4 linked regions of the Elephas maximus indicus genome follow. The protein of the gene in region 1 interacts with the protein of each later gene in a pairwise test. Links are inferred from orthologs where the notes say so. Each region holds a gene or a part of one and is shown in the gene's direction. Other genes may lie near its edges. The genes, in order: DTNB, ZBTB9, HMG20A and SPZ1.

The links.
Region 2: the proteins of DTNB (region 1) and ZBTB9 interact in binary tests that used the Homo sapiens proteins (3 or more experiments, as listed by UniProt). The two-hybrid records come from large-scale screens. The link is inferred for Elephas maximus indicus from reciprocal best matches to the Homo sapiens genes DTNB and ZBTB9.
Region 3: the proteins of DTNB (region 1) and HMG20A interact in binary tests that used the Homo sapiens proteins (3 or more experiments, as listed by UniProt). The two-hybrid records come from large-scale screens. The link is inferred for Elephas maximus indicus from reciprocal best matches to the Homo sapiens genes DTNB and HMG20A.
Region 4: the proteins of DTNB (region 1) and SPZ1 interact in binary tests that used the Homo sapiens proteins (3 or more experiments, as listed by UniProt). The two-hybrid records come from large-scale screens. The link is inferred for Elephas maximus indicus from reciprocal best matches to the Homo sapiens genes DTNB and SPZ1.

Annotation. Positions count from the first base shown.
Region 1 is NC_064830.1:43,591,077-43,598,385, reverse strand, and holds the start of DTNB (dystrobrevin beta), read left to right. Parts: upstream 1-4,288; 5' UTR 4,289-4,980; coding exon 4,981-5,126; intron 5,127-7,309.
Region 2 is NC_064819.1:96,273,143-96,281,141, forward strand, and holds the start of ZBTB9 (zinc finger and BTB domain-containing protein 9), read left to right. Parts: upstream 1-4,988; 5' UTR 4,989-5,201; coding exon 5,202-5,251; intron 5,252-5,429; coding exon 5,430-6,912; 3' UTR 6,913-7,999. Other genes in the region: SYNGAP1 (ras/Rap GTPase-activating protein SynGAP), read left to right, coding at 1,880-2,026. UniProt on the Homo sapiens protein: May be involved in transcriptional regulation.
Region 3 is NC_064831.1:66,143,574-66,150,919, reverse strand, and holds the start of HMG20A (high mobility group protein 20A), read left to right. Parts: upstream 1-4,335; 5' UTR 4,336-4,902; intron 4,903-7,346. UniProt on the Homo sapiens protein: Plays a role in neuronal differentiation as chromatin-associated protein. Acts as inhibitor of HMG20B. Overcomes the repressive effects of the neuronal silencer REST and induces the activation of neuronal-specific genes.
Region 4 is NC_064820.1:85,365,212-85,370,982, forward strand, and holds SPZ1 (spermatogenic leucine zipper protein 1), read left to right. Parts: upstream 1-4,156; coding exon 4,157-5,263; downstream 5,264-5,771. UniProt on the Homo sapiens protein: Transcription factor that binds to the DNA sequence 5'-CANNTG-3'(E box) and the G-box motif. May play an important role in the regulation of cell proliferation and differentiation during spermatogenesis.

The DNA of each region.
Region 1 (7,309 bases):
CTCGCGAGGAAGAGGCTCTGCGTTAGGTGCCGAAGGGGGCGAAAGAGGCAGGTCCTGGCAGAGGGCAGGTAAGGCAGGCAGGCCCTGGCAGAGGGAAGGGAATTTATTTCAGATCACCCCAAAGCACTGTTTCCCGAGGCGCCTAATAGTAAACCTGTTCACCGAGGTCACCCTTAAAAGGAAAGTGTCCTGAGATAGAGCAGGATGCAGCTAGCGAATGCTTGCTGTTAAATTTCTGTGCCAGACGTTGGGATTAAGAAAGAAGACCTTGCACGCTTAGCAAACGTTTATTGATTAGCTACTGTGGATAGAGAGCCATTGTCAGCACTGGGGCTACAAAACAGTATTAAACACGACCAGGATTTGCTATTTAGGCGCTGACAATTTGATTGTGAGGGTATCCGTATAAAATACACAGCAGCATTGAAATTTATGTCTCATACCTTTTACTTTAGGTCTGTTTTATTTCATCCTACTATGGGGTCATTGGAGGCATGAGTTGCTTGGTTTTGGGGATAAAGCAGAAGGGTCAAAAAAGTTTATGGGAGAAATTTGAGTTTCGCAAGCTCTTTTGCTTAACATTTAAAGGGGCATAGGGGAAAAATAAATTTGACAGCAGAAAGGAAGCTGACCAGGACGGTGCCTGGTCCACAAGAGTTGTGCGGTGAATGAAGATACACATTTAGTCTGAGCAGTATTGATCACTCTCCAGTTAGGAAGACTGATGGTCCCTCAAGTTCCTTTTTTTTTTTTTTTTTTGCCATATGAGATCACCCAGGTTCTTAGATCAGGGCATGTTAAAGCAGTGGTGGAGTCGTGATTTCTTGTGGCCATTCTCCTGCTTTCACATGCTTATTGCATATTGGCTGTGAGCAGCTTGCTTCTTGGGCTTGAGATTTTTTTTATTGTGGCTCTTCTCTCCTTTTTCTATCACTTGAGGAAGAAGAAAAACATTTTTGTTTGGAAAACACTTTTTCATTTTTATCTTGGTTCTTGGGTCTTAGATCTGCAGTAAGATCTACAGATCTTAGATCTGCTATTCTTGAGGGTCAGTTCTACCTGTCTTCTGTCTTGGTTGGATTTTTGGACTCTTGAGCTCAGGGCTGCTGTTTCCGTTTCCTGGGTTGCAATGCCTGTTGGGTTACTTTGTCTGCCAAAATAAAACTTGACCTTTTATGAGCTCTGTTAGGATTTTGAGGAGCCCTGGTGGCACGGTGGTTAAAGCGTTCGGCTGCTAGCCAAAAGTTGGCGGTTTGAACTCACCAGCCTTTCCGAGGGAGAAAGATGTGGTAGTCTGCTTCCATAAAGACTACAGCCTTCAAAACCCTTTGGACCAGTTCTGCTCTGTCCTACAGGTTCACTATGAGTTGGAATTGACTCGATGGCAGTGGATTTTAGCTTGGGTGTGAATTTTTATCATACGTGAGTGGTACTGCCTTTGCAGGGGGTTGTGCAGTCAAGGTAGCGTTGACAAGGTCTTTGAGTGACCACTATGCCCGAGAGACGAAATTTCTACTCAGTCTAGAAAACTAGACTTAGAACCAGTAGAATTTCAACCTACTATTTGCTTATTTTCTATCTTTAATATATATCTCTCAATACCTTAGTTTCCTCATGTAATATTAATCCAAATTTGGCATTGAGGAGCCCTGGTGGTACAGTGGTTAAGTGCTTCGCTGCTAACCGAAAGGCAGGCTGTTCGAACCCACCAGCCCCACTGCGTCAGCCCTTCTGCGGGTGACGTATGTGGCAGTCTGCTTCACAGTTACATTTTTAAAGATTTATAACCTTGGAAACCCTATGGGGCAGCTCTCCTGTATCCTATAGGGTCACTAAGATTTGGAGTGGGTGAGAAAGTCATGAAGAGATACTTTCTCTTTAGTTCTAGGGCTGCACTTCAGGGTAACTACTAGTTCTTGTTTTCGGGTGCCTCGGTCCTGCAATTTTGGGTGTCTTGTTCCAGGCTTCCCTAATGGTATGATATTTATTTATGTTATTTACATTTATTTTTAAAGCGACTTTATTGATGTACGATTTGTATATGATAAAATGCACAGATTTCCTATGGACAGTTGGATGAGTTTTAACAAATGTTTATACTTTGTAACTACTAGCTCAGTCAATATGTAGAACACTGCCATCATCCGAGAAAGTCGACCTAGCCCCACGTTTCATGTATTTGTAACTACACGAGTATCAGGACTGTGGCATCTAGTTGTGCAGGTTGTATACAGCCCAGCTTTAGCGAGTGCCTGGCAGTTCAGATCCACCAGCTGCTCCTTGGAAATCCTATGGGGCAGTTCTACTCTGTCCTGTAGGGTCGCTATGAGTTGGAATTAACTCGATGGCAATGAATTTTTTTTCATTTTCATCAGAGTCGCTCCTGGAGTTGTGTAGTACACAATATGTGTGGCTCTGTGCTGCAACACTTCTAAGGGCTCATGAATACACACTTGCTTGTGAAACACTCAAATTGTACAAACAAAACCCTCCTTGAGCCACGCCCTTCTCCACAGAAAGTACAGTTATCAGTTTGTTGTGCTCCCTCCAGACCTTTTTTTGCCTTTTCATGTGCCCATAGGTAATACAGGAGCCCTCCTGTGTACAGTGGTTAAGTGCTCAGCTGCTAACTGAAAGGTTGGCAGTTTGAACCCACCCACTGCCCCATGGGAGAAAGATGTGGCAGTCTGCTTCCATAAAGGTTACAGCCTTGGAAACCTTATGGGGCAGTTCTCCTCTGTCCTATAGGGTTGCTATGAGTCAGATCAACTCAGCAGCAGTGGTTTGGTTTTTTTGGTTTATAGGTAATACAGAAAAGACCAGGGATCCCCACCTACGTTAATGACATCATACCATACCAATCGTTCTGCAACTTTTTTTAAACTAATAGACTGTCTTTGAGGTCTTTCCATGTTGGAGCAGAGGGATCTACCTAATTCTTCTTAACTATTAATCTCTCAAGTAGCATGTATGCACTCTAACTCAAAACCGAACTCACTGTCATCTAGTCAGTTACCGACTCACAGTGACCCTATAGGACAGAGTAGAACTGCCCCATAGAGTTTCCATGGAGCGCCTGGTGGATTCAAACTGCCGACCTTTTGGTTACCAGCTGTAGCTCTTAACCACTATGCCACCAGGGTTTCTGTATCACTGTAGATTATTTAATCCTCTTTTCACTAGTGGGCATTTAAGCTGTTTATAGTCTTTTGTTTTTTCACGCATTGCTGCAGTGAATAAGAAGTAGAATTACTGGGTCAAAGGGGTGGCGCAGATTTTAAATTTTAATTGGTGGAGATTTAACCATGTTGCTACTTTTGGATCTGGTTCGCTTATTTTTGACTGCAGAGAGTATTCACCTGTAGACTTCATCACAGTTTATGTTCCCTTTTACTCGGTGAGGGTCAATTAGGCTACTTTGGATACTAACTCTTTGATGGATATGGGTTTTGGAAATGCATCCTGCCAGTCTGAGTCTTGTCCTTCCCCTTGTTAAAGATGCCCTTTGTTGTGTACAAGTTTTCAATTTTCATGTCTGGTTTAGGAAAGTTTTCTCTATCACAGAGTAGGAATTATATAGTCCTGTATTTTCTTCTGGAAACCCTGGCGGTGTAGTCGTTAAGTCCTACGGCTGCTAACCAAAGGGTCAGCAGTTCAAATCCGCTGGGCGCTCCTTGGAAACTCTATGGGGCAGTTCTGCTCTGTCCTATAGGGTCGCTATGAGTTGGAATTGACTGGACCGTACAGGGTTTGGTTTGGTTTTGGTATTTTCTTCTAAAAATTTTGCTTTTCACGTGGAATTTGTTTCTGTGTGTGCTGTAACAAAGAGAGAGAATTTTTTTCAATTTCGTAACTAGTTTTTCAGCACTCTTTAATTGAGGATATCCCTTCCCCTGCTGATTTGACAGCCACCTCTATCATAAGTCAAACTCTCTGAGCCTGTTATCTTTTTGGTAGTTGGGACATCTTGGCTACAGATTTCGTTTTTTTGATGCTTATTGGTTTACTTATATTTTTTTCTTTAGTCAATTTTGGTCATCCTTTTCTAAAACAATTATCTGCTTTAAATTCTGAAATATATTGACATATTTATGTTATTTAATTATATATGTAACATACTTTTATGATTTAAAAAAATCTTTGCCATATCTGTAATTCTTTTATTCCCCCCGTGTTGATTAGCTCTTTTTCTTTATGCTTGATCCATTTGACTTGAATTTTATTTGTAATTAGTTTTTTCCTTCAAAGAACAGATTTAGTCTATTTCTTAATTTTCTATTTAATTGATTTCTTCTTTTATCTTTCTTATATTCTTCCCTTCTTTCAACTTAGAGGTAGGCTTTAGATTTTTAAAATTTTCTTATGGTAAAATGTAAGAGATAGGTTGTATCTGTTTGTGCCCTCCTTTCCTGTAAGACAGACAAACACCCCTGCCCTTGCCATGAGATTGCCAGTATCTTCTGGGGAAGGAAGATACCTCTATTGTGTCGATATCATAGTTAGCCATTTGAGTTGCTTTGGCTAATGAAAAATGAATGGAGGTGATATTGCATGTAGCCACCAGTTTTCTTTCTGTTTTCCCTCTGCCTTGAGAATGGTACGTCCCAAATAGTGTATGTTCCTTCAGTCTGAAATTTAAATGAAGATGTTACATGGAAGACAGCCACAGCTGACCTGTAGCCGACATGTATCACAAATGAGAAATAATAAGTCTTTGTTTAAGCCACTAAGATTTTTGGCTGTTACTAGTTTTAACCTAAAGAAAGTTGATTGATATAAAAATAGGTTCCAAGGATACTATGGTAAATTATATTACTGCTGCCGGTTACTTGCTCACGTGAAGAGCTTACCTGTGGGAGGCATGTATTTCCTGGCCTCATTGTTAGGTTTGGCCACGTGACTTGCTTTGGCCAATGAAATTTGAATGGAAGTGGAAGATGCTAATTCTGGTTCTGAGAGGGGAGCTTTGAGAGCCATTGCATGCTTCTGCCAGCTCTCTTGTACTTTTCCCTCTGGCAGGAGAATGTCGTGTTCCAAACAGGGGCTGCTCCTTCAGCCTTACCCTGGCACGAAGGCGTGTGGAGCAGAGCCAGAGAGACCTGTAGCTGCTTCAGCCTGCATGTATCGTAAGAAGAAATAACCTTTTGTTACTGTAAACTGCTGAGATTTTGGGATTGTTTTTCCCTTAACATAATCTAGTGAAAACAGATTATGTTTGCTGTTCTTTTTCTAATTTTATAAGTTGAATCAATGCATTAATTAAAAAAATGTTCTTATATTTTAATAAGTGCACTTAAGGATACAAAGTTTCTGCTGAGTACTACTTTTCTCCTGTATCAAGTTTTGATTGTATACTCTCTTTGCATTGTTTGATTCTAAATATGTGATGATTTCCTTTATGATTTCCACTTTAACCCTGAGTCATTTAGGAAAATATCTTCTAATTTCCAAACATTTTTTTTAAACTAATTTTTTTTTTAATTGTTGGGTTTTATTTTAATTGCACTGTGGTAGAGAAAGTGGCCTTATGGAAATGATTATTTGTAATCTAGTGTGATTTCCTTTGTGACTTACTCGATTTTTATAAATGTTTTGACATGTATTTAGAAATAATGAATATTGTCTATTTGTTGGGTGCAGGGTTCCATATTACTGTTCGATAAGCATATTAGTTTTTTGTGATTTTTCTATATCCCACCTAATTTTTTGCCTTTTTAATTTATCCATTTTGTATATAACTATATTAAAACCACTTACTGTGGTTGTAGAATTATCAGTTTCTCCTTGTAATTCTCTTAGTTTGTCTTTATATATTTCTAGTTATGTTGCTAGGCTCATGTAAGTTTATGATTGTTGTACCTTCTTGGTGGATTGCTTTATAATTTTGTAGTGTCTTTCCTTGTCCTCATAATGCCTTTTCCCTTAAGATTTATGTTGTTTGATGTCAATGTTGATATTTATAAAATTCTAGTTTGAAATTATTTTCCTTCAGCACTATTTTATGATCTTCTGGCTTTTTTGTTGCTGTTGTTATTGAGAAAAGTCTGCTATTGGTCTACTTGTTATTTATTTGTAGATAGCCAGTCTTTTGTCTCTGGTAGTTTCTAAATTTTATTAGTGATGTTTTATAGTTTTACTGTGATATGTTTAGGTATGGATTTATTTATTTTGCTTGAACTGTGGAATAGACCATCAGTTGCTCATATGCAAGTTCAGGTGAAGCTGAAGAAAATTAAAACAAAAACCAAAATATGACCTTGAGTATATCTCACCTGAATTTAGAGACTATCTCAAGAATAGATGTGACACATTGAACACTAATTACTGAAGACCAGATGCGTCGTGGGATGACATCAAAGACATCATACATGAAAAAAGCAGAAGTTCATTCGAAAGACAGGAAGAAAAGAAAAGACCAAAATGGGTGTCAGAAGAGCCTCTGAAACTTGCTCTTGAACATAGAGTAGCTAAAGTGAGCAGAAGAAGTGACCATGTAGAAGAGCTGAGTAGATTTCAAAGGGTACCACAAGAAGATAAAGTATGATAATGAGACATTTAGAGACCTGGAGTTGGAAAACCAAAAGGAAAGAACATGCCCGGCATTTCTCAAGCTGAAAGAACTGTGGAAGAAATTCAGGCCTCAAGTTGCAATACTGAAGGATTCTATGGACAAAATATGGAACAATGCAGGAAACAGCAAACGAAGATGGAAGGAATACACAGAGTCACTGTACCAGAAAGGATTGATCTACATTCAGCCATTTCAGGAGGTAGCATATGATCAAGAACTGATGGTACTGAAAGAAGAAGCCCAAGCTGCACTGACGGCATTAGCAAAACACAAGGCTCCAGGAACTGACAGAATACTAATTGAGGTGTTTCAACAAGTGGATGCAATGCTGGAGGCACTCATTCGTCTATGCCAAGAAATTTGGAAGACAGCTACCTGGCCAACTGACTGGAAGAGGTCCAGATTTGTGCCCTTCCAAAGAAAGGTGATCCAACAGAATACAGAAATCATCTAACAATATCATTAATATCATATACAAGTAAAATTTTGCTGAAGATCATTCAAAAGCGGCTGAAGCAGTACATCACCAGGGAACTGCCAGAAATTCAAGCTGGATTCAGAAAAGGATGTGGAATGAGGGATATCATTGCTGATGTCAGATGGATCTTGGCTGAAAGCAGAGAATATCAGAAAGATATTTACCTATGTTTTATTGACTATGCAAAGGCGTTCAACTGTGTGGATCATAAAAAATTATGAGTTGTCTCATTTTGAAATTTTATTGTTAATTATTAGATT
Region 2 (7,999 bases), on another chromosome or scaffold:
TTTATTTTTATTTTTATTTTTTTTTTTTATTTTCTGTGGGATTGATCTGCAGTGGGCAGTGTGGCTCCTCACACTGTAATTTTAACTCTCTGCCTGCCCAGCCTTTCTGTCAGAGTAGTTAGTGATCTGTCAACAGATGCTAAAAGGCACCAGGGGACCTCACCATTTAAAGGACTCCTGCAGTGAATTCTTTTGTAAAATGAATAATGGCACCCTAATTTATCTACTTTCTAAATTTGGGTCCACGGGGGTGTAGGGGGCATGCCTAAGTGCTGTCGCCAGCAGATGAGCAGAGAGAAGGGAATCTGAGGTTTCCTTCCTTGCTCTCCCGCCATCTCAGGATACCCTAGCATACGTAATTTCCTCTCGCTGACTTGGAGAAAGTGTGTGATACACCCAGCCAGCTAAGAGGGCAGCTTTGCTCAAGGCTGGGGTTTTGGTGACTGAGAGTTGAGCTCTTTGATCCTGGGATGGAAGGGAGAGCTGCTCATCTGGGAGCCTTTACTTGGAATGTTTTTGTATTCTTGGAGGATATGGTCAGGCATAGCTACTTTGCCAGGCCTAAATGCCCTGTGGCCCTGGAAACAATTTGGACATTTGTTTGAAACCACTTCTGGGTATCAGTCCCTGTGTGACTTGGCTATTAAAAAATTAAAAAAAAAAAAAATTTTCTATTGTGCTTTAGATGAAAGTATTAAAATTAATTTTGACTCTGTATTTTAAAAAACCCGAGTGAGTGACCCAGAAGTACAGATGGCTTTCTTTCTCTCTCTCAGCTGAGGGTAGGAAGCAAGAATTGGTCCAGGATTAGTAGGAGGAGATGAGAATAGGACCAGAGGTGGGAGTGAGTAGGGTCTGGTACCTCTCACTCTCTAGCTGGGATCCCAGGGAGAGGGATTAAAAAGAAGATGGGGGTGGAAAGGAATGGAGCCAGTTTCTGCTTCCTGGGGATGCAGAGATTGGGGCATGCTGTGTCTCTGCAGAAGCTTCTAGTCGTTTTTTGCCAGAAGTGTGAGAGAGGCAATCCCTCCCACAACATTTTTCCCTTTCCAAATCACTTCCCTGAATCCCCTTCCTTTCCCCCCAGTACAGTTAAACCTCTCTAATTTGGAATGTTATATTTGAGAAGATGGCCACTCTGAATAAGTGACAAAACTGAATGACAGTGTCTATTTAATGAAATGCATGTCTTCAAAATACATACAGTAAGTAGAACTTGATGAACAAGGCTTTTTCCACTCGAGGCCCTCAGGGAGCATGCGTTAATGAATAGATAGGATTGAAAAGTCTGTTTTCTGGTATAGGTTAAATATTCCCTCCTACAGATGCATTTCCACCATAATTTGCTTAGCACACCCTTTCTTCAGAGATAAAGGAAAACTCAAGCCCAGTTTCTGTTCAGATTATGACAAAAATTCCAAATCCATGGGGGTTTGGATTAATGAGGTTTTGCTGTACTGCCTCCCCTTGTTCCCTCAACACAAAATTCCTACCTCGGGTTTCGGGGTGGGCTGGGAGGCGGGTCCCAAGAGAAGGAGGGTGGGCTGGGCAGGGAGTATGCGGTAAAGATAGAGGGGATTGGGTTGGGGAAAGGTAGGAACTTGTTTCTTTTGAGCTGGTTTCCTGGTGTGACTCCCTGGGTTGAAGGCCCCAGTTAGGAGTCTAGGGTTGAGATTTTCTTCTCCCTGACTCCAGAGGACATAACTTCTACTGCAGGTGAGAAACAAAACAGGATGGTGGGGATTGTCCTGGGGGGAGGGGGTGGGACATGGCTTGTGGAGTGGTCGGGCTATGGGGGAGGCCACAGCTAGGGGGCTGGCACCCAGGCTCCCGCGAAGCGTCTCAATAAGTCCGCGCTCTCCTCTTTGGTATCTTGCAGGAGAGGCAGCTTCCCCCCTTGGGTCCAACAAACCCGCGTGTGACGCTGGCCCCACCTTGGAACGGCCTGGCCCCCCCAGCCCCGCCCCCCCCACCCCGGCTACAGATCACCGAGAACGGCGAGTTCCGAAACACCGCAGACCACTAGCCCACCCAGCATCACCGACCCATCCTCCTCCTCGCCCATGCACTCCACCCCGGAACAGCACCAACCACCAGGACTGGACTTCACCGAGGGACAGCGGGAGTGCCTCCCTGGATGCCTCCTTGGGGAGCACCGATCCCCTACCCCCACTGCACCATTCCTAGAAGGGAGAGTGGGGACCCTCAGCTGCTCCCTTTCCTACCTGTCGGGGTGCTGCCCCCTCTGTGACCCCCAGGGACCCTAGCCCTAGGACACCACCTACCCCACACAGACCCCTTCACTCCGGGGTGCTATCCCCATCCTCTGCCTCATCGTTCCCCTGAGCACTGGGGGACAGACCTCGCCCCCACCCTGGGGGTGTGGTACCTCCAAACTTTCAACTTCAGGGTGATTTTTTAGCAGTAACCAGAGCTGACAATCTAACTCCCCTCCACCGCCCCATTTTGGCCTCCCCTGCCCCCCTTGTTATGGGGAGGGGACCCCGGGTGAGGGGGCCCTATTACCCCTTGATTTCTCAGGAGCGTCTGGGGGGGCTCAGCACGCACAAACTCCTTCTCCTCCCACCACTCTTAAATTTACTCCCTTCCCACCCAGAACCCAGATGGGGTGGAGGGGGCCACCGGGGCAGGGAGGGGGCGGCAAGGGGGGAATGGGAGTTGTCTCCCTTCTTCCCACACCTGATCTGCTCTCGGCTGGTCCCAGAGCGGGGTGAGGGGGCTCATGCCCCCCCCTCCCCCAGTGTGTTGGGTGGGGTGGAATTGAGGTTAGAGTGAGGGGATGGGGTTTAGGACGGTGTGTATGTGGGGGAGGACAGACTAGTTTACCTGCCATATCCTCACATACAGTCCCCCTGCCCCTCCCCTCTCTCTTCTTGGTCTCTACTCCCAGGGGGAGGGGGGAACTTACTCTAGGAAAAGCCATGTCTCCCTCCCCCCAGGGTGGGGGGGACCTGTGATGGAGGAGGGGTGTTGGGGGGGCCCCCTTCCATGACTGTGTCCCCTGGGAGGAGGTAGGACAGGGCTGTGCTTCCCTTTCATCCTCCCTACCCCCCAATCTCCCTTCTCCCCCTTCCCTCCCGCCAGCTCCAGAATTTTTCGGTGTTTCTCTGTACATAGCTCTCTGGCGGGATAGGGGAGGTAGGATGGATGGGGTTTGGGGTGGGTAGGCCATGGGAGGGGAGAAGCCCCTCCTAGGCACCCCCTCTTCCCTAACTGCTGTCCCCTACCTAGCCTTGCCTCCACATCCTTTGCGTTTGGTATTGAGACTCTTCCCAGACTCCGCCCTTTCTTTTGTATGGACAGTTCCCCTTCAGACCCATCTCCCTACACACATACACCCAGCCGGGGCCAAATTTATACTTATATAAAAGTTGTAAATATGTGAAATTTTATCCCTGTGCCCTTTCCTCTGCTTTCCCACCTCAGGCCCTACCCCTGGACCCCTGTTCCTCCTCTCCTCTTTGGCTGTTGTAATTATCTGGGGTTTGTACTGTATATATCCAGGGTGTGTGTGTGTGTGTGTGTGTGTGCGCGTGTGGGCTGGGGGCAACCCCTCTGTACAGAGCTTCCCGGCCCCCCCCCTCCACTCCCTCCCCACCCACCATCCTAAGGGTAGGGGACGCTTTTCCTACCAGTTTTATTTTGTTTTCTCGTTCTCCCTCCCCACATGACTCCCAGCCTTCTCTATCCCCCATCACAGTCCCTTTTTCTCCACTCCCAGCCCCGTTTCCTTTTTTTCTGGAGTGTGTGGTGAAACAGAAAAATGTTTAATAAACAGAGATTGTTCTTTTATTGCTGTGCTGACTTTCCTAGGCGAGGCCCTCAAGATGGACCAGCAGGGTGGTAGGATCTGCTTTTCGAGAGGAGACTAACAGTCTGGAGAAATGACTATTATCCTTCTCTGAGTGCACAAATCCTCACAGAATGACTCTCCCACCCAGCAAGGAGATTTAATTTTTTTTTTTTTTATTATGAAGAGTAGGGGTTTTGCAGGGACTAGTCAAACCTCCCCAATGTAGTGTGCCCTCACCCACCGTTCCACTTAGACTGAAGGAGCAAAGATGGAGGAGGGGAGGGGCTCCTGATAGAAGATTCCAAGTACATGTACCTAAAAAAACTACTTTGTAAAAAACTGTCTGCCATCAAGTTGGCCGTACTCATAGCAACCCCATGCACAACACAACACCGCTTGATCCTGCACCATCACCATGATCAAGTTGTGGATCGGCCAGTTGGTGACCTATAGGGCTTTCATTGGCTGGTTTTTGTTAGATAGGCAGGTCTTTCTTCCTACTCTTAGTCTGGAAGCTCCTCAGAAACCTATTCAGCATTAAAGCAACACTATGCCTCCATTGATGGTGCCTGCCCTGAAGTGCACTGGCTGGGAATCAAGCCCAGGTCTTCCCCGTGAAAGGCAAGAACGCTACCACTTAACCACCACTGCCCCCTAGTAAAAAATAATTACCAGAAATAAGGGTTGTTTAATTCATTGCTGGTGAAAACGCTCCTGTGCGGAATGGAGGAAATTTGGTTTCCAGTTCCCGGCCCACCATTTGCCAGCTGAGTTTATTCCAGCCTCGGTTTTCCTGCATGGAAACCGAGGATGTAAACACCTACGTGGAGGAGCTGGTGGGAAGATAAAAGATGATGTGGCCAAGCATCTAGCTCCCAGTAGGTGCCCAATTAATCTCGCCGTTCTCAGCCCCTATGGGGGGCCGGGCGCTACATTCCATCACCACGAAACGCAGTTTTCCGGGGCGACTCACAACTCGCTCCCCCACGTACCGAGTCGGCAGCGTCCCCCAGCCACCTCTTCGGCCCAGGCGCCAGGCCAGAAACCGCACCAGCTCCGCCCCTCTCACCCGCTCAACCAGTCAATACCAGGCTTGTAGACTGCCGCCCTCCGATTGGCTGGCGCCCCAGCCTGCTGGTTGCACTCGGCGTAGGCGTCCGGCGAGGAGGCGGCGACTTCCGGCCCAGGACCGCGCTGAAGCTGCGGATGCGCTGTTAGGTCCACACCGCGTGTGTACCGGTGGGGGTGTGTCGGCGGGCAGGGCAGCCGGGCGGGGCCCCGCGGTCTCTGCTGGCCGTGGCCTCCCCGGAGCCGACCTCGGGCACCGTGAAGGGAGACGGAGCGGCGGGGCAGGAGCGACCCCGAGCTGGCGAGGTCAGGCTCGTGGATGAGAGACTTCCTCATCTTATTCCGCAGGCCTTGGAAGTTACAACCCCGGTTGGTAACTTGTCGTTATTGTTTGTTTTTTTGTTTTCTTGGTGGGGAAGTGTGCGGGACTAATCTGCCAAAACCTCCACAGACTGAAAAGTTGACAAATGTTGGAGGGTAGTTGTTTGAGGAGACATGGTTCCCCTTATCCAGGGCTTCTGTGACCCCCCGTCTCTTTCCTCCACAGCCTTCATCCCGCGTGGGATCTCTCCCCAGCCCCCTTTCTCCTCTTGGCCACCCTCTGGGATCGCTCTCTTTCCGAGGAGGCCATGGATACCTCGACGCCTTTGCCGCCTGTGGCCCCCTCCCCCGTCTGCAACCCAGCTCCACGGACAATCCAGATCGAGTTTCCTCAGCATAGCTCATCGCTGCTGGAAACCCTGAACCGCCACAGGCTAGAGGGGAAGTTCTGTGATGTGTCTCTCCTGGTGCAGGGTCGGGAACTTAGGGCTCACAAAGCCGTGTTGGCTGCTGCCTCTCCTTACTTCCATGACAAGCTTCTTCTGGGGGATGCACCGCGTCTCACCCTGCCGAATGTCATTGAAGCTGACGCCTTCGAGGGGCTACTTCAACTCATTTACTCAGGACGCCTCCACCTGCCACTAGATGCTCTGCCTGCCCACCTCCTTGTGGCCAGTGGCCTCCAGATGTGGCAAGTAGTAGATCAGTGCTCAGAGGTTCTTAAAGAACTAGAAGCCTCAGGTGGTGGACTCTCAGCCCGTGGAGCAACCCCATACCGCTCAGTTCTTTCCGCTACATCCACTGCAGGAGGCTGGTGCCTTCGATCTCCCCCTTTCCAGACCCCAGTGCAGTCATCGCCCTCTGTGGAGAGTCCTGTTGTAGGGGAGGGAAATGAACTGGGAGAGGTATTACAGATTCAGGTAGAGGAAGATGAGGAGGAGGAAGAAGAAGAAGATGAGGACCAGGGGTCAGAAGCACTCTCGCAGACTCCTCAGCCTCAGAGAGTGTCAGGAGATTTCCCCCGCCTTCATGGATCCCACCCATCACCAAAATCCACTACTCCCTGCAAGCTTCCAGAGGGCGAGAGTGCTCCGTCAGAGCCTCTTACCACTTCTACTGCACTGCCCCTCAAGATCTTCTACATAAAGCAGGAACCCTTTGAGCTTAAGGAAGAGATACTAGGAGGTGGAACTCAGTCTGGAGGAACAAAGGAGGAGACCAAAGTGTTCCCTCGGAACACTGAAAGAGATGGGGAGTTAGAATTATTGCTGCCCTCAGGAGCAGACGCACCATCTGGGGGAGGAGGCCCCTCCTGGAAACCAGTGGATCTTCATGGGAATGAAATCCTGTCAGGAGGTGGAGGACCTGGGGGAGCAGGGCAAGCTGTGCATGGGCCTGTGAAACTAGGAGAGGCACCCCCTGCAGATGGAAAACGCTTTGGTTGCTTGTGTGGGAAGCGATTTGCAGTGAAGCCAAAGCGGGACAGGCACATCATGCTGACTTTCAGCCTTCGGCCCTTTGGCTGTGGCGTCTGCAACAAGCGCTTCAAGCTGAAGCACCATCTGACAGAGCACATGAAGACCCATGCTGGAGCCCTGCACGCCTGTCCCCACTGTGGCCGTAGGTTCAGAGTCCATGCCTGTTTCCTTCGCCATCAGGACTTATGCAAGGGCCAGGGCTGGGCCACTGCCCACTGGACTTACAAGTGATTTCTGAGGCCATACACTGATTTTCAGGACAAGAGAGCCACTGCTACTGATGGATACTCACCCCTCACTATCATTGCACTTCAATCCTGGATCTTGTAATCATGTCAAGAGGGTAGATACATTATGGGTCTGTGTATAACCTCTGTCTTCAGTGTGGGCCTCAGCCTGGCAATTTGGAAACTCAGATTTCTCATCTCACCCCGGGTTTTTGCTAACCACCCTGTACCAAAGCCCACTGCCATTGAGTTGCTTCTGACTCATAACGATTCTATAGGACAGAGTACAACTGCTCCATAGGGTTTCTAATGCTATAAATCTTTATGGAAGCAGACTGCCACATCTTTTTCCTGCGAAGTGGCAGGTGGGTTCAAACTGCCCTCCTTTTGGTTAGCAGCTGAGTGCTTAACCACTGCACCACCGGGGCTCCTTAACCACTTGATAGGAAGGTGGTTTACAGGTCATATTTAAACTGATCACTTGCCCATAATGGACCCTCCTTTCCTGGTGGTGGCGTCCATTCAAGAAACTTAATTTCAGATCAGAGGGTTATTTGGTGAGAGATGAGTTAGAGCAAAAAGACATGATGATAAATTTTACATTCGGTCTCTGTGAAGGGTTAAAAGAACCAGTGTCTACGTAGAGATACACTTGATTCAGAGTTTGAGTAAATGGATGACTAAGCTCTAAGCTTCCCTCATCACTGCTGGAATGATGTGAGCAGAGATCTTTTTCTGTACCTATTTTGTTGTATCTTTCCAGAAGCCTCTCTGATCGTAACTTACTTTCTTACTAGTAGATACCTTCCCAACTTTTATTTTTTATATTGTAGTTGAGCACTTTAACACACTGAGCATTCCATGTGTCATTCCTTGAACCCTCTTTAAGAGAGGGTATTCCCTCACTACCCTGTGCCTCTTTTCTGCCTTTGTCACCACCACTGGTCCCTCATATACTAATCACAGTGACTGAAATGTGAGTCGACTCAGGAGATGGCCACCGACCTAAATGCTGCCAGGGCAGCACCACTGCACTCTGAACAAGTTGCAGTGGGCAGAAGGACTCAGGGCTGAGATAGCTCATGTTGAAG
Region 3 (7,346 bases), on another chromosome or scaffold:
CCACCCCCTCCTCCATATCTCTCATCATTTCTCACCAGAAATGGCTTCCTAACTAATTTTGCTTTGTGTTGCCTTTCCCTAACCCAGCATTCACTGCACTGCCAATATAACATAGGTCTAAAACACAAATCTGATTCTATCACAGCACAATGGAATTTTTTTTCACTAAATGCTGAGCTTTTAAAACTAAGTTCCTTAAAACTGTGTCTACCTATGGCTACTTAGTATCTGACATGTCCAAATTGAGATGTGCTGTAACTATAAAATACACACCAGATTTTGAAGATTTAGTGTGAAAAGAATGTCAGTGTCAGTAACACTTTTTATATTGATTACAGGAGCCCTGATGGCACAACTGTTAGGCACTCAACTGCTAATGCAAAGGTCAATGGTTGGAACACACTAGCAGTGCCACAGAAGAAAAGACCTGGCAATCTGTTTCTATACAGTTTACAGCCTAGGAAACCCTATAGGGCAGCTCTACCTGCCCTACAGGATTGCTATGAGTCAGAATAGATTCAGTAGCATACAACAACATATTGATTACATGTTGAAATGACAATATTTCAGATATGTTGGATTAAACAAAATACCGTATTCCATACCCACTGCAGTCGAGTCATTTCTGACTCATAGCAACCCTACAAGACAGGGTAGAAGTGCCCTATATTAATTTCACTTTTTTTTTTTTTTTACTTTTTTAAATATGGTTACTAGAAAGTTTAAAATTACATATGTGGCCCACATTAGATTTCCATTGGACAGTGCAGGTCTACGAGGCCCACATTAGATTTCCATTGGACTGTGCAGGTCTACAATGTCCTTCCGCTCTTTCTGAGCTTAGTTACTCCTACCTACTATTCAAGATTAGTTCAGGTAACCCACTAAGATGCATTCCAGGACACTCCCTAGGACCCCAAATCTGAATCAGCTACCCTTTCTCTGTTCTTCCATCCACAGGAACCTGTGTGCATCCCTGTCATACATCACGCCATATTATAATTATTAAAAACTATCAGCTATATTTCCCCCACTAAACTATAAGCTCCTTGCAGAAGGAGATCTCATTCAACATATACTCAGGGCCTACCACCATGCCTGGCACTTAGAAGGAACTCAAAACATTTGCCAAATAAATATGAGCTACTTATTCTGGCCTGAAAATTCACAGAATTTCTCATTCTCCAAAGAGTTTCCCAAGGAAAACAAACAGGCAGTGAAGGAGACTAGACTTTCTCAGGACCTCTAGTCATGAAAAGACTGGGGGGCGGGGAGAAATTACCATCAAGACATCAGCAATAAGAAAATTAAGTGCATGACACACACCTGCCTCTTATAGTGAAAAAAGGGGTTTGCAGCAGTGATGTGAAGCCTTGAACTCACCCTTGGCATGCCAGGGGCCACAGTTTGGGTCCTAAATTACTTAAACAATCCATCCAACAAGAATATGATTTGGCAGGTTTCAACACAAACAGCTAGAGCCCACCACCTATTCCACTTTAACAGTACATCACTACAGTTAAAAAAAAAAAAAAGAAAAACTCTCTCATGAAATAAACGCTAATCTCATGATGCTGCACCACGGAGCAATTTAGAAGAGTTATTATACGAAATGTGCCAAAGCATGAATTTATGGCTGATGCTTATTTGGCAAATATGGTTGGCACTGCTAGATGTTGAAAAACATGCATGCAAATAAGCAAATAAAAGTTTTTAAGCTCACAGACTTAAATATTTACATTACCATAAATGTACAAAGATAAACGTTTATATGAATACATATATAATGCATTCCAGGAACACATTTTTTAATGTGATTGTCAGGAAACAGTTATAAAGTGGTATTATTTCTTTACAGGCCTCAGGGTAGATTCTTAAAAGTGCATTCCGACAGAATGTTAATGGGGTACGAACACTTCATGGCAGTTTCTCTATGGTATCGCTGGGTAAAATGAATAAAAAAAACCAAACCCAGTGCCATCAACTCGATTCCGACTCATAGCAACCCTATAGAACACAGTAGGACTGCCCCATAAGAGTTTCCAAGGAGCACCCGGCAGATTCGAACTGCCAACCCCTTGGTTAGCAGCCGTAGCACTCAACCACTACACCACCAGGGTTTCCGTAAAACGAATAGTCATAGTATAATAGTTCAAAGCAATCTTATCTTTTCCTTTCCCAAAAACACTTCTCTTCCCATCCTGGAGCCTAACCAAACACAGATGTCAGTCCCTAAGTGGGGGATGGAGGGGACACAACCTCTACACATCAAAAAGCCTTAAAGAAAATAATTTGACATTTTCCCACATAATATAATCATATTAAAGTCTCCAAAATAAAGACATATTTCCCTCTCTTCCTCTCTGACATCTATGGAAAGATTATTTGTTTTTTCGCATAGTTTGGGAGCTTGTCATAGCCAAAACTCACTAGCAATGGCATGAATTCTGCTTCCATTGTTAACCATTAATCTCTGCGTTGAGGCTATAACTCCCATCTTTGAAAGCAAGAAAGTGTACTATACCTGCCATTAGTTTACTAAATGAGTCACCAAAGAGAAGAAGTGCCAGATACTTCAGAAAGTAATTAGGGCAGTCAGTGAATTGAGATATCTAGAAATGCTCTGAGATTACAGGAGAAGCCATCATGAAGCAAGTAGCCAAGATTGCTCCTGGAAAGTTTTACCCCTGTGGATAATTGACGTTTTTCACTTCCACACTGCAGAGAGCAATATGAGTTCTCCTGCCACAGACACTATAACACACATCACTTCTGTGGGTGAATAATAATCAGTAAGCAGGCCTCAAAACAAAAACCTCAAGACAATCCCAATTCAGGTGAAAAGCTGTTCATATACATCATCCAAGGACCTAAAAATAGTCTTTCATGTAAGTCTCCAAGTATTCAATTCAAAGTATAATCTTACCACATTTAACCGAGACAGAAGATAAATGTAATAAAGATGAAATCATAGTTTTCCTCTAACTCATCACTAACCCCTCAACGCCAGCCTTCCAATAACCCCATTCCACAGCTCTCAAATTCCCGAACTTGAATCTTAAAAAAACAACCGATTGCAAGAAAGTAACATTTAAGGGGGGAGTCCCTCTTTCCTGTTGCTCTCAGCAGTCTTTAATGTAGTCACAAGATGAAAGAGAAAAGCAACCTTTCAGGCGGATGGTGCCTGCGAAGGGGAAATTCTGGGCAGCAAGTCCTCGTCGAAATAGGAAAGAAAAGTTGCAAGAAAGGATGAGTCAAAGGGCAAAGGAGAAACAAACGGACCAACCGAACCACTTAAATCCCTCAAACCACTGAGTCAACCAGCATGTTGGGGGCTCACCAGCCGCTGCGCGAAGGGAGCCAGCAGAGAGCCCCTGGGTTTCGTCCTGACGCGGCTGGGGAGGTTGCGCCGGATCCTCCCCGGTTTGGGAGCGGGACGACCGTGCAGACTTAGCAGGAGCGAGAGAAGCCCTTCCTGCCCCAGCCTCCCCCGCGTACAGCTTCTCCAGGCTTCGCTTTCCCCCGCAGCTTCCCAGCCGCGCCCGGGGCGTCCTTCGCCGCCAGGTCCCAACTTTCCCTCCTCTGGGGGGCGCCGCGCTACCGGGGCCGCCGCCGAAGGAAGGGGAAGAAAGGGGCGGCCGGGGCGCAAGGGGGCGCGAGGGGGCGCGCGGCGCCGGCGGGCCCCCGAGCGGCGGGGCCACTAGGGCCGGCAGCGTGCGATGGCAGCCGCAGCCGGAGAGCCCGCGCCGGGCGGGACGCACCAGCCGCCCAAGCCCCCGCGGCGGCGCCAGCCAGACCCCCGCCGCCCCGCCCGGATTCCCCCGGGTCAGCGCCCTCACCCCGCGGAGACCCTGCTCCCACCAGCCGGCGTGTGAGAAGAGGCGAGCGGAGGGACGCGTGCAGCCCTGCCCCCGTTACCTGAAGGGCGCACACGCCGCCGCGGGGACCACCATCGCCGGCTGTCCCGTCCCCTTCCTGGCGACCACGGCCGCCGCCGCCGAGCAACTGACACTGACTAACAACAACTAACTAACTACTCGCCGCCGCCGAGTCCACCGCGCGCTCCCGGCCGCTCGCCACCCGCCCAGCCCACCAGCCCGCCCGCCTCCTCCCAGCCCTGCGCGCCGCCCTCTTCAAGCTCTGCCCGGGAGCGAGCACGCGCGCGCGCCCAGAGCCTCGGCCTCTCGCCCCATCGTCTGTAGCCTCAACCCCGTGGGAGGAGTCGCCGCGAATCCCCTCCTCTCCGGTTCCCACCGTCAGAGGGTGAGACGTAGAGAGCGCTCGATTGGCCGAGGGGGGCGTGGCCAAAGCCAGAGGGCAGGACGACCGGGACCTTAGCGCTCGTGAGGGGAGATTTAGATTCAATTAAGTTCCAGAAGAAAAACAGGACAAAGTTATTGGCCTATTTGAGTTCCGAATCTTCTTTGTCAGCCTGCCGTCGAATACATACTCTGTGTTTTCAAGGACTCCAGAGTGTAGTAATAACCAATTCAAGTCCCGCTACTTTCTGCGCCTGTTAGCGATAAAAGCGAAACTACAACTCCCAGAAGCCTTCGTGAACTGAGTCTCTCTGTGCGTATTCACGTAGTCCTTCGCCGCAATTGAACAAAATAATCCCTTCATCTTTCTGAAGGTATCGGAAATAATATTTCATTTTTCTACTGATCGGGACAATTTTAATTGTTACTGTGATAAGAGAAGTTACCTATAGGAAGGTGATTAAGCGATTAGGTAAAAGGGAAAGAAAGGACACCAAATAAAGTGCTGCGGAGGAATCTTTGTCAAACTGTGAGAGGACGGCGTGCGAAGAATGAAGGCGTTTGAGAGGGGCTGAGGGAATTGTCCTCTGTGCGAAGGACTTTCTTTAGGCCCCAGGCCCCTGCCTGCCCTTTTCATCAGCAGGTCAGTAAGCAAGGCGAGGCTGGGGGTGGCCGTAGTTGAGGTGCCCTTCTACGCTTGAAGATCATGCCTCTATTGCCGTTGTTGTTATTGGTTTGCCTCGGTTTGAGACTAACTAAATGGGGGCGCCTCACTTCCGGTTGGGGGAGGGGAGGAAACCTGTCATGGGGGAGGGGAAAACAACGCATTTCCTGTGGGGGTAGGGGGATAGTTTGGGGTTGTGGAACCCGCTTCCAGGTCGGATGAGGGCTTAAAAAGGTGGTGGGTGGTGCTGTTTGCATCGATGATATCTTAGAGTTTTGGGATTGTGTTTTATATAAGAAGTTACGTTGTCCCACCAAGTCGTGCTAATCACCCGCCTCCAGTTAAATGTGTTTTATTTCCACATGTAAGATGGGACATTTCCTCCCCAACAAAATTTTCTTAATGTATTCTTACTTCAAAGAATATGAAAACCCTTGTTAAAATTCCCTAAGCGACGGCGTGTTTTGCTTGTGTGACTCATGGATTGTCCACCCATGCTCCCGTACTCAAGTCCAACCTTGACTGAGTGAGGGATGGTGGTCTCTGCCTTGACATGCCTCGAGAACGCTGTAGCTACTCTTTTAAGGAGACGGTGTATTAGAGGATTGAATCTTTCATAAATTATAAGGCATTTTTACTTCGCCAGAGGGAAAGTGATATAATGAAGTAGTGAAATATTTGATGTTACCTTAGCTAGTATAATTGGCATCTTTAATTCTTAGATTTTAGGCTACAGGTTTTGTCCTGTGCCTGAGAACAACTTCCTCAGCCTTAAAAATTCTTACACGTAGTTGACATGTAGTATTTGTGCAAGTTGTGTTTCAATTCATTTCCCCCTTGTAATCGAAATTCACCGATTTAAAAATGATATCTGTTCTTTGTGGTTTTGAAGCATGGTGCCAAAGGTCATGAAACTCAGCTCAGAATTTAAGGAATGAAAAAAATGAACACAAAAAGGGCAAAAGATAAACAAGAATGAACTTTATATTCCTATATTGTCATTTTTTTTCTAGGGAACTATGTAAAGTGGAATAAACACTCAACAATTCTGATTCTTTAGCTTCTGTTGTCAAGGATCACAACACTTGTTCTTGTGTATGTGCTGAAGAAATCTACTTACTAGGAGCTTACTTTGTAAAATCTCAATGATTTTAGTAATTTTGGAATGGATATCTATTGAATGAACCTGGAACTATAACGTCTTTCAAGAATTTTTTTTTTTTAATTTTGTTGTGTTTTAGGTGAAAGCTCACAGTATAAATTAGTTTTTTATTAAAACATTTATACACAAATTATTTGTAGCATTGTTTGCCATCCCTGCAGTGTGTCAGCACTCCCCCCCTTTGTCTTTCCACCCCGGGTTCCCCATGTCCATGTGTCCAGTTTTCCTGTCCATTCCTGCCTTCTCATCTTTCCTTTTGGGTAGGTATTGCCCATTTGGTCTCCTATATTCGAATTCCTCAAGTGTGTTATTACTTGTTTTATAGGCCTGTCTAGTCTTTGGCCAAAAGGTGGACTTCAGGAGTAGCTTCAGTTTTGAGTGAGCAGGGTTTCCCGGGGGCCATAGTCTCAGGGGTTCCTTAAGGAATTTTTTTAAAGCAGTAAAAGCCTGTGTGTTTTTTCCTTTGGAATTGTTAATCTATCTTCAGAATTTGCAGTTACTTTAATTCTAGCTTTTAAAAAGCCATTTGGTTTAGAGTTGATTGTGCAATAATAACACCCAAAGCAAACAAACCCGTTGCCATTGAATGGGTTCCGACTCACAGTGACCCTATGTATATAAATGTTACAGTAAGGAGGAAAAATACATTTTCTAATCTTCTGTAGACTTAAAAGAAAAAAAAAACAGCTTAAGTCTCTAAAATCAATAAGTTAACTTTTGAAAAATCAAAGATCTGCTTCAGCAGCTGATTGAACAGGCAAGACAAAATAAAGTCTGCATTAGGTTAGGCACATATAGACAGGGCTACTTATAGTCTAGTCCAAGTAAGTATCAATAAATTAATTAGAGAGAGGTATTCACTGTCTTCTTTATCACTGTAATGTAGAAGACAATGCACGGTTACCCCAGCAAATTATACTATTTTTTTTTATTGGGAGTTATCGAAATATGGAAGGATTATGGAACTAAATGAAAAAGATTTTTTTAATTCTTTTAAAATATCGATTGAGATACTGCAGCATTGCCTTTTGGAAACTATCTTTGAAAGGCAAAGGAGTTTATTAAATTGGTCTTCATGACATTCTATGGAAGAAATTCAGTATAATAGTAATAAGAAAAATTGCTGCAGCTAAGACTTTAGCAGCTTGAAGAACTGTCTGTTCATACGAAAGCAATATATAAAACACATATCTGAAAGAAGCTGTTTTGTTATAAGTGGCGGTTATTCATTGGTTCCATCAAAGTAGAAATATTAGCAAAG
Region 4 (5,771 bases), on another chromosome or scaffold:
AACCTAACTTTCATTTCTTTGTATCGCTGTATCTTCCTCTCCATATGGAAGATCTATGATTACGTTTTCTTAGTTTCTCTTTATTGTTTTAATGTTGTCTTCTTTTATACAATAACATCACTGTTACCCTGTTTTGAGCTTTTTTTTTAAAATCTTGCTTAGTTTTTTTGATTTCCCTGCCTGGGTTGACTTCTGATTGCTCTGCCCAGTGTTCTAGTCTTGGGTTAATACCTGATATTATTGATTTTCTAACCAAAGAACTCCTTTTAGTACTTCTTATAGTTTTGGTTTGGTTTGGTTTTTATGAATTCCCTAAACTTCTGCTTATCTGTAAACGTCCTAATTTCACCTTCATATTTAAGAGAGTTTTGCTGGATGTATGATTCTTGCCTGGCAATCTTTCTCCTTCAATTTTTAAATAAGTCATCCCATTGCCTTCTTGCCTACACGGTCCCTGCCAAGTAGTCCAAGCTTATTCTTATTGGCTCTCCATTGTAGGTGACTTTTCGTTTATCCCTCGCTGCTCTTATAATTCTCTCTTTATCTTTGGTTTTGGCAAGTTTGATTATAATATGTCTTGGTGACTTTCTTTTAACATCTACCTTATGTGGATTTCAGTGAGCACCTTGGATAGATTATCTTCTCATTTTTTGTGATATCAGGGAAGTTTTCTGGCAACAAATCTTCAACAATTCTCTTATATTTTCTGTTATCCTTCCCTGTTCTGGTACTCCAATCACTCGTAGGTTATTTCTCTTGATACAGTCCCACATGATTCTTAGGGTTTCTTCATTTTTTTAAATTCTTTTATCTGATTTTTCTTCAAATACATTAGTGTCAAACGTTTTATCTTCAAGTTCAGAAATTCTGGCTTCTACTTGCTCAATTCTGCTCCTCTGAATTTCTATTGAGTTGTCTACTTCTGTAATTTTATTGTTAATCTTCTGAATTTCTGATTGCTGTCTACAGATTTTTCCACCTTATTAAATTTTTCATTATGTTCCTGAATAATCTTTCTAATTTCTTCAATTTGCTTTATCTGTGTGTTCCTTGGCTTGTTCTGTGTATTGCCTCATTTCCTTCCTGATGTCTTGAAGGGTTCTGTATATTAATCTTTTGTATTCTGTCTCTGGTAATTCCAGGAATGCAGTTTCATCTAGAAGATCCCTGGATTCTTTGTCATGAGAGCTTGTTGAGGTGATCATGGTCTGTTTCTTTATGTGACTTGATATTGACTGTTGTCTTCGAGCCATCTATAAGCTATTGTATTAGTCTGTGCTTGCTTACTGTGTCGTAGCTTCTTGCTTTGTTTTGTTTTGATATGCCCAAATGGGTTGCTCAAGTGAGCTAGCTTGATTATCTTCACCTTTGGAGCTCTGACGTCCTGTCCCCAGATGGCTAGAGCTGTTGTTAGGTATATCAGTCTAGGAGTCCATTCACTTTTATTGTATGAATTCAGCTCAGTTGTCCAGGTAGCTGATCATCAAGTGTGTGGCACAGGCTCTGTCCTACAGTCTTAGAGGGGCGGGGTAATTGGTGTATATACTGCTATCTGATTACAGCAGGGGATCACTCTCTGAACAAGGCAGGGGGCTGAGAGCTGACCCCAGGTGTCTCTGAGGAAAGCGCGTCCCTGTTCCCTCGAGCATGCAGGTGGGTAGGTTCTGCAGATGGACCATGGTCACCCAAAGTTTTTGGTTGTAAGGACTGGGAGGTACCAGTTATCCTTGGACCCCTGTCATGGGTGGCTGGGTGACCTGAGTGGAGCTACTAGTCCTTAGGTCCCTGATGTGGGTAGGTGAGGACACTGTTTAATAGGCAAAGAAATGTCAAATATCAAACACCCGTCTCTACACTGCACAGCTGAAACAGTTGGAGTCTTCCAACAAGGGTCTAGTCTCCTGAAATAGGCCCACACAGGTCCATGCAGAGGGGAAAAGTGCTCAAAGTCCACAGACTGTTTATGCCTGGACAGGAGCTGCTTTTGTCCTGAGCTTCCCCAGTTAGTGGAGCTGGCAAATTGTCTTTTCCCCCAATTGCATTTTTTTTTCCTTCTCCAAGGACAGGAGGATGGCTCCAGGTGCACAACTGGGCCTATCTCAGGCCCAGGGAATTTAGCCACTGAAGCCGGCTTGGGGGTCGGGGGCATGCTAAAACATACGCAAGTACTTAGCTTTTGGCGAGAGTGCCATTCTTCCCTGGTTCCAGAGGTGTGAGTAGGCTGTGTGGCTGGCTGCTTCTCCCTGAGGAAATTGTGGCCAAATGCTAGTCACCAGCCTGCTGCCACCACCACCTGGGAATGGTGCCTGATGGCTCCCCACGATTCAGGTCTGGTAACTCCTCTCTGCTTCTGAACCCTCTTTTCCTCCTCCTGCCCTTCTGTTTGTTTTCTAAGCTTGGCTTTGATGCTCAGGGCTCCTAGCCTGTCATAAATATACTCATTTCACTTGTTTTTTTGGGTCTTTGTTATAAAGAGGGCTTGCCAGAAGCGTCTGTCTATCTGCCATCTTGGCTCAGCCTTCCCCATAGAGTTTTCTAGGCTATAATATTTACAGGAGCAGATTGCCAGGTCTCACAGAGCTGCTGTGTGAATTTGAACCTCCAGCCTTTTGATTAGCAGCCAGATGTTTAATCATTTGTGGCACCAGGGCTCCTCAGTACCAAATCAGAAATGTCTCCTTATCCTGGAAATTAAAACACAAAACAAACAGTCTTAATTGATTCTTTAGTCAAAGGGGAAATATAAGCCAAAGTGGGACCTTGTGAGACAGAATTGAAGCATAAGGGCAGTCCCCAGCCCCTGTGGAATCATTGGGTGAATTAGAAAAGGTGTTCCCTCTTCAAGTAAGAAAGATCAACACTGCTGTACCTGTGGATAGTCAGATTACCGCTCCAGGGCCAGCTGGCTGGGTGATGAGCATGAGGCTCAGGGAAATCAAAGCCAAAGTCAGTTGGTGGCTATGGAAGAAAAACAGATACATTTCTCTCCTCTTAGGAAAAAAATACTATTAGAATATGAATTTTCCCTTAAGATTGGAAGCAAACTTCTAGTTCATAAAATGCTTGCTAGCAAGATTTTTCAAGGCCAACGAAAGATCTCAACATGTGGGGCGTTTTTCTTGATTGAACTTAATGTTTTTAAGATCCTGACTCTTAAGGACCAAAAGACAAAAATACGCTAGGTTTAATACTCTCCAGTTACTTTTCTATAACCCATTATATATTTAGCCCTTTCAAACACGTTAGATAAATTACGTATGTCGTTTTAACAAGTTACTGTGAAAATAAGTGATTAAAGTTTTATATCACTTGATGTAAATAATTTAGGAGTAAGCTTACTCAGCCTGTCTTAAAGGATACCTGTATTCAAAGCCAAGAGAAGTCCTAATTTTTAATTATGTTGTTAAAGAATCATTTGGATAGTCTCTTCCTATTGCATTACAGTATATTGTAATGGAGTTATTCCCCCTAAAATTACAAACAAATACTGTAATTTTTAATTCTGTATTGTTTGGATAACTTTCTTTTACAGTAGCATCTCTCCTAGAATGGGAGCAACAAGGTCTCCGGGTTCCTTGGGCTATGCACTTAGGTGGCAGAAAAACAGGTGCCACGGTGGAGTTTGGAATTGTGGGTAGTGGGGGTGAGATAGGGGAGTCACTGAAAACAGGTGGAATGAGATGAGTAGAAACCTAGAAAAATAAGGTGAGGAAGGACTATCATAGAGGTCCTTCTGGCATGGGAGGTAGAGGTAGCTCAAGGTTGATTTTGATGCATGAGTCACTGGGCAGGAGTTTAAGAGGCTTCCATTGTGACACGGGAGACAGAAGCTGGGATAGGCTATGATGATGCTGTGACAGAATAAAGACCTGGTTGCTAGGGCCAGAGATTAAACACCAGAAGGCTGGTGGAGGAGATGGAGCCACAGCTCCTGGTCCCCTTTCCCACCCTCCTTCACCCCAGGCTGTCTGAGATGTCATCTTCCACCTAAATATCATCTCTCCAGTTCCCAGTCTTCACTCTGGTCTCTAGCTTCTGCTTGGTTCCACATTCTCTACATACTTCCACAGGGGACCTACACCTTCCCTTCCTGGGATCTCTTAAGGTTTTCTGCTTTCCTCTTGCCCTGATTGCCAGCCCTGCTAATTCAGCTGAGATGGAAGCACCCACCCTGCCTGAAACCTTTAGGCTTCCTCCTGATCTTCATCAAGAGTCTTGGGACCCTAGGATGATCATCGCCTTATTTGAAATTGGATCAATATCCCTTTTCTTCTGGAGTTCTCTCCTTTCTCTAAAGAAGAATAGCAATCAAATTTCTGAACAACTGACTGCACAGAAGTTTGAAAAGGTCTTAAACAAAATTGAAGGTATCCTTAAAAATATTACGGGTTTTGAAAAGACCACAGATGCAATAGTATCTTTTGAGGACACCACTGTTTCTGATGATGCCTCAGAACTTAAAGAAAAAATCAGAAAACTTGACCAAATAAATAAAACACTATTCAAAAATCTGCTTACTAGTTTAGACCCAGAGAAATTCCAGAGTGCAAAGAAACAGGAAAAGATATTGGAAAACCAAAACTCCGAGGACACGGTACATTTTGCAAGGGATCTGGTAAATCATTCAGAAGAAAAAAGAGCCCTTAATGAAACTCAACCAAGTAAAGAGAAAGCAAAATATGGATTACTTCATGCTCAAGAAGAAAATATCAAACTTAGGAACAACATGGAGCAGTTACTACAGAAAGCAGAACACTGGAGCAAACAACATACTGAGCTCAGTGGACTAATAAAATCGTATCAGAAATCTCAGCATGACATAAGAGAACTTCTTGAAAATAATGGAGTCCATTTCCAAATCCAACCAAATAACAAGATGTCAGCTAATTATGAGATGGAAGAACAAGTGAGGAAATTGCAACATGACACTTACTCATTGCATTTGACTGCAGCTTTATTGGAGAATGAGTGCCAAATCTTACAACAGAGAGTAGGGATTCTCAACCAACTCCATTATGAGAAAGAGAGAGCGCAGACAGACAACGAACAGGGCAAGAAAGAAAAGAAGCCATCAGAAGCAGAAAAAGTAGGAACTCATAAGCAGAGAATGAAACAAATGGAGGGTACACTTCAGAAAAGAGACAACTTTTATATAAGGCTGGATGTTTGTCGTAATAAGAAAGCTCACAATAACTGGTTCAATTCTCGTATTGCAAGAAGAGGCCTTGTGGGAAAAAAGAGGTCAGCCAGCAGACCAAGATAGAAAATACCAAAAGTAAAAGAAGAGGCAATTCTTCAAAAAGTTGTATACATCCAACTCCAGGCACGAGCAATCATCAAACCTAGGTTAGATTTCTTGGATTAACCAAGAAAGAACTATAGAGCAGGAAGACTAACACACTATTCATTACTTCAGTAATTATGTAAGTTTGGTCTTTAATGATCATTAGTGCCAACATTAAGTTCATAATTTGCCACCTTTGCAATCTGCTTGGCTTTTATAGTTAATAGAGATCTTATAATGCTTTAATCAGGATTAGAATTTATCAGGTCAAATTAAGTAAAGATTTAAATAAAAATCGGGATGAGCCAAAGAAATTATTTATTCTTTATTAATCATTACCTGAAGGGAAAGTTTTGGAAAAAGAAAGTATAAGGTTGTTTTTTTGTTTGTTTTGATAATATTTTTTGTATTTTCGGTGAAAGTGTACACAGCAAACCAGGTTCCCATTCAACAATTTCTACACATACTGTTCAGTGACATTGGTTAC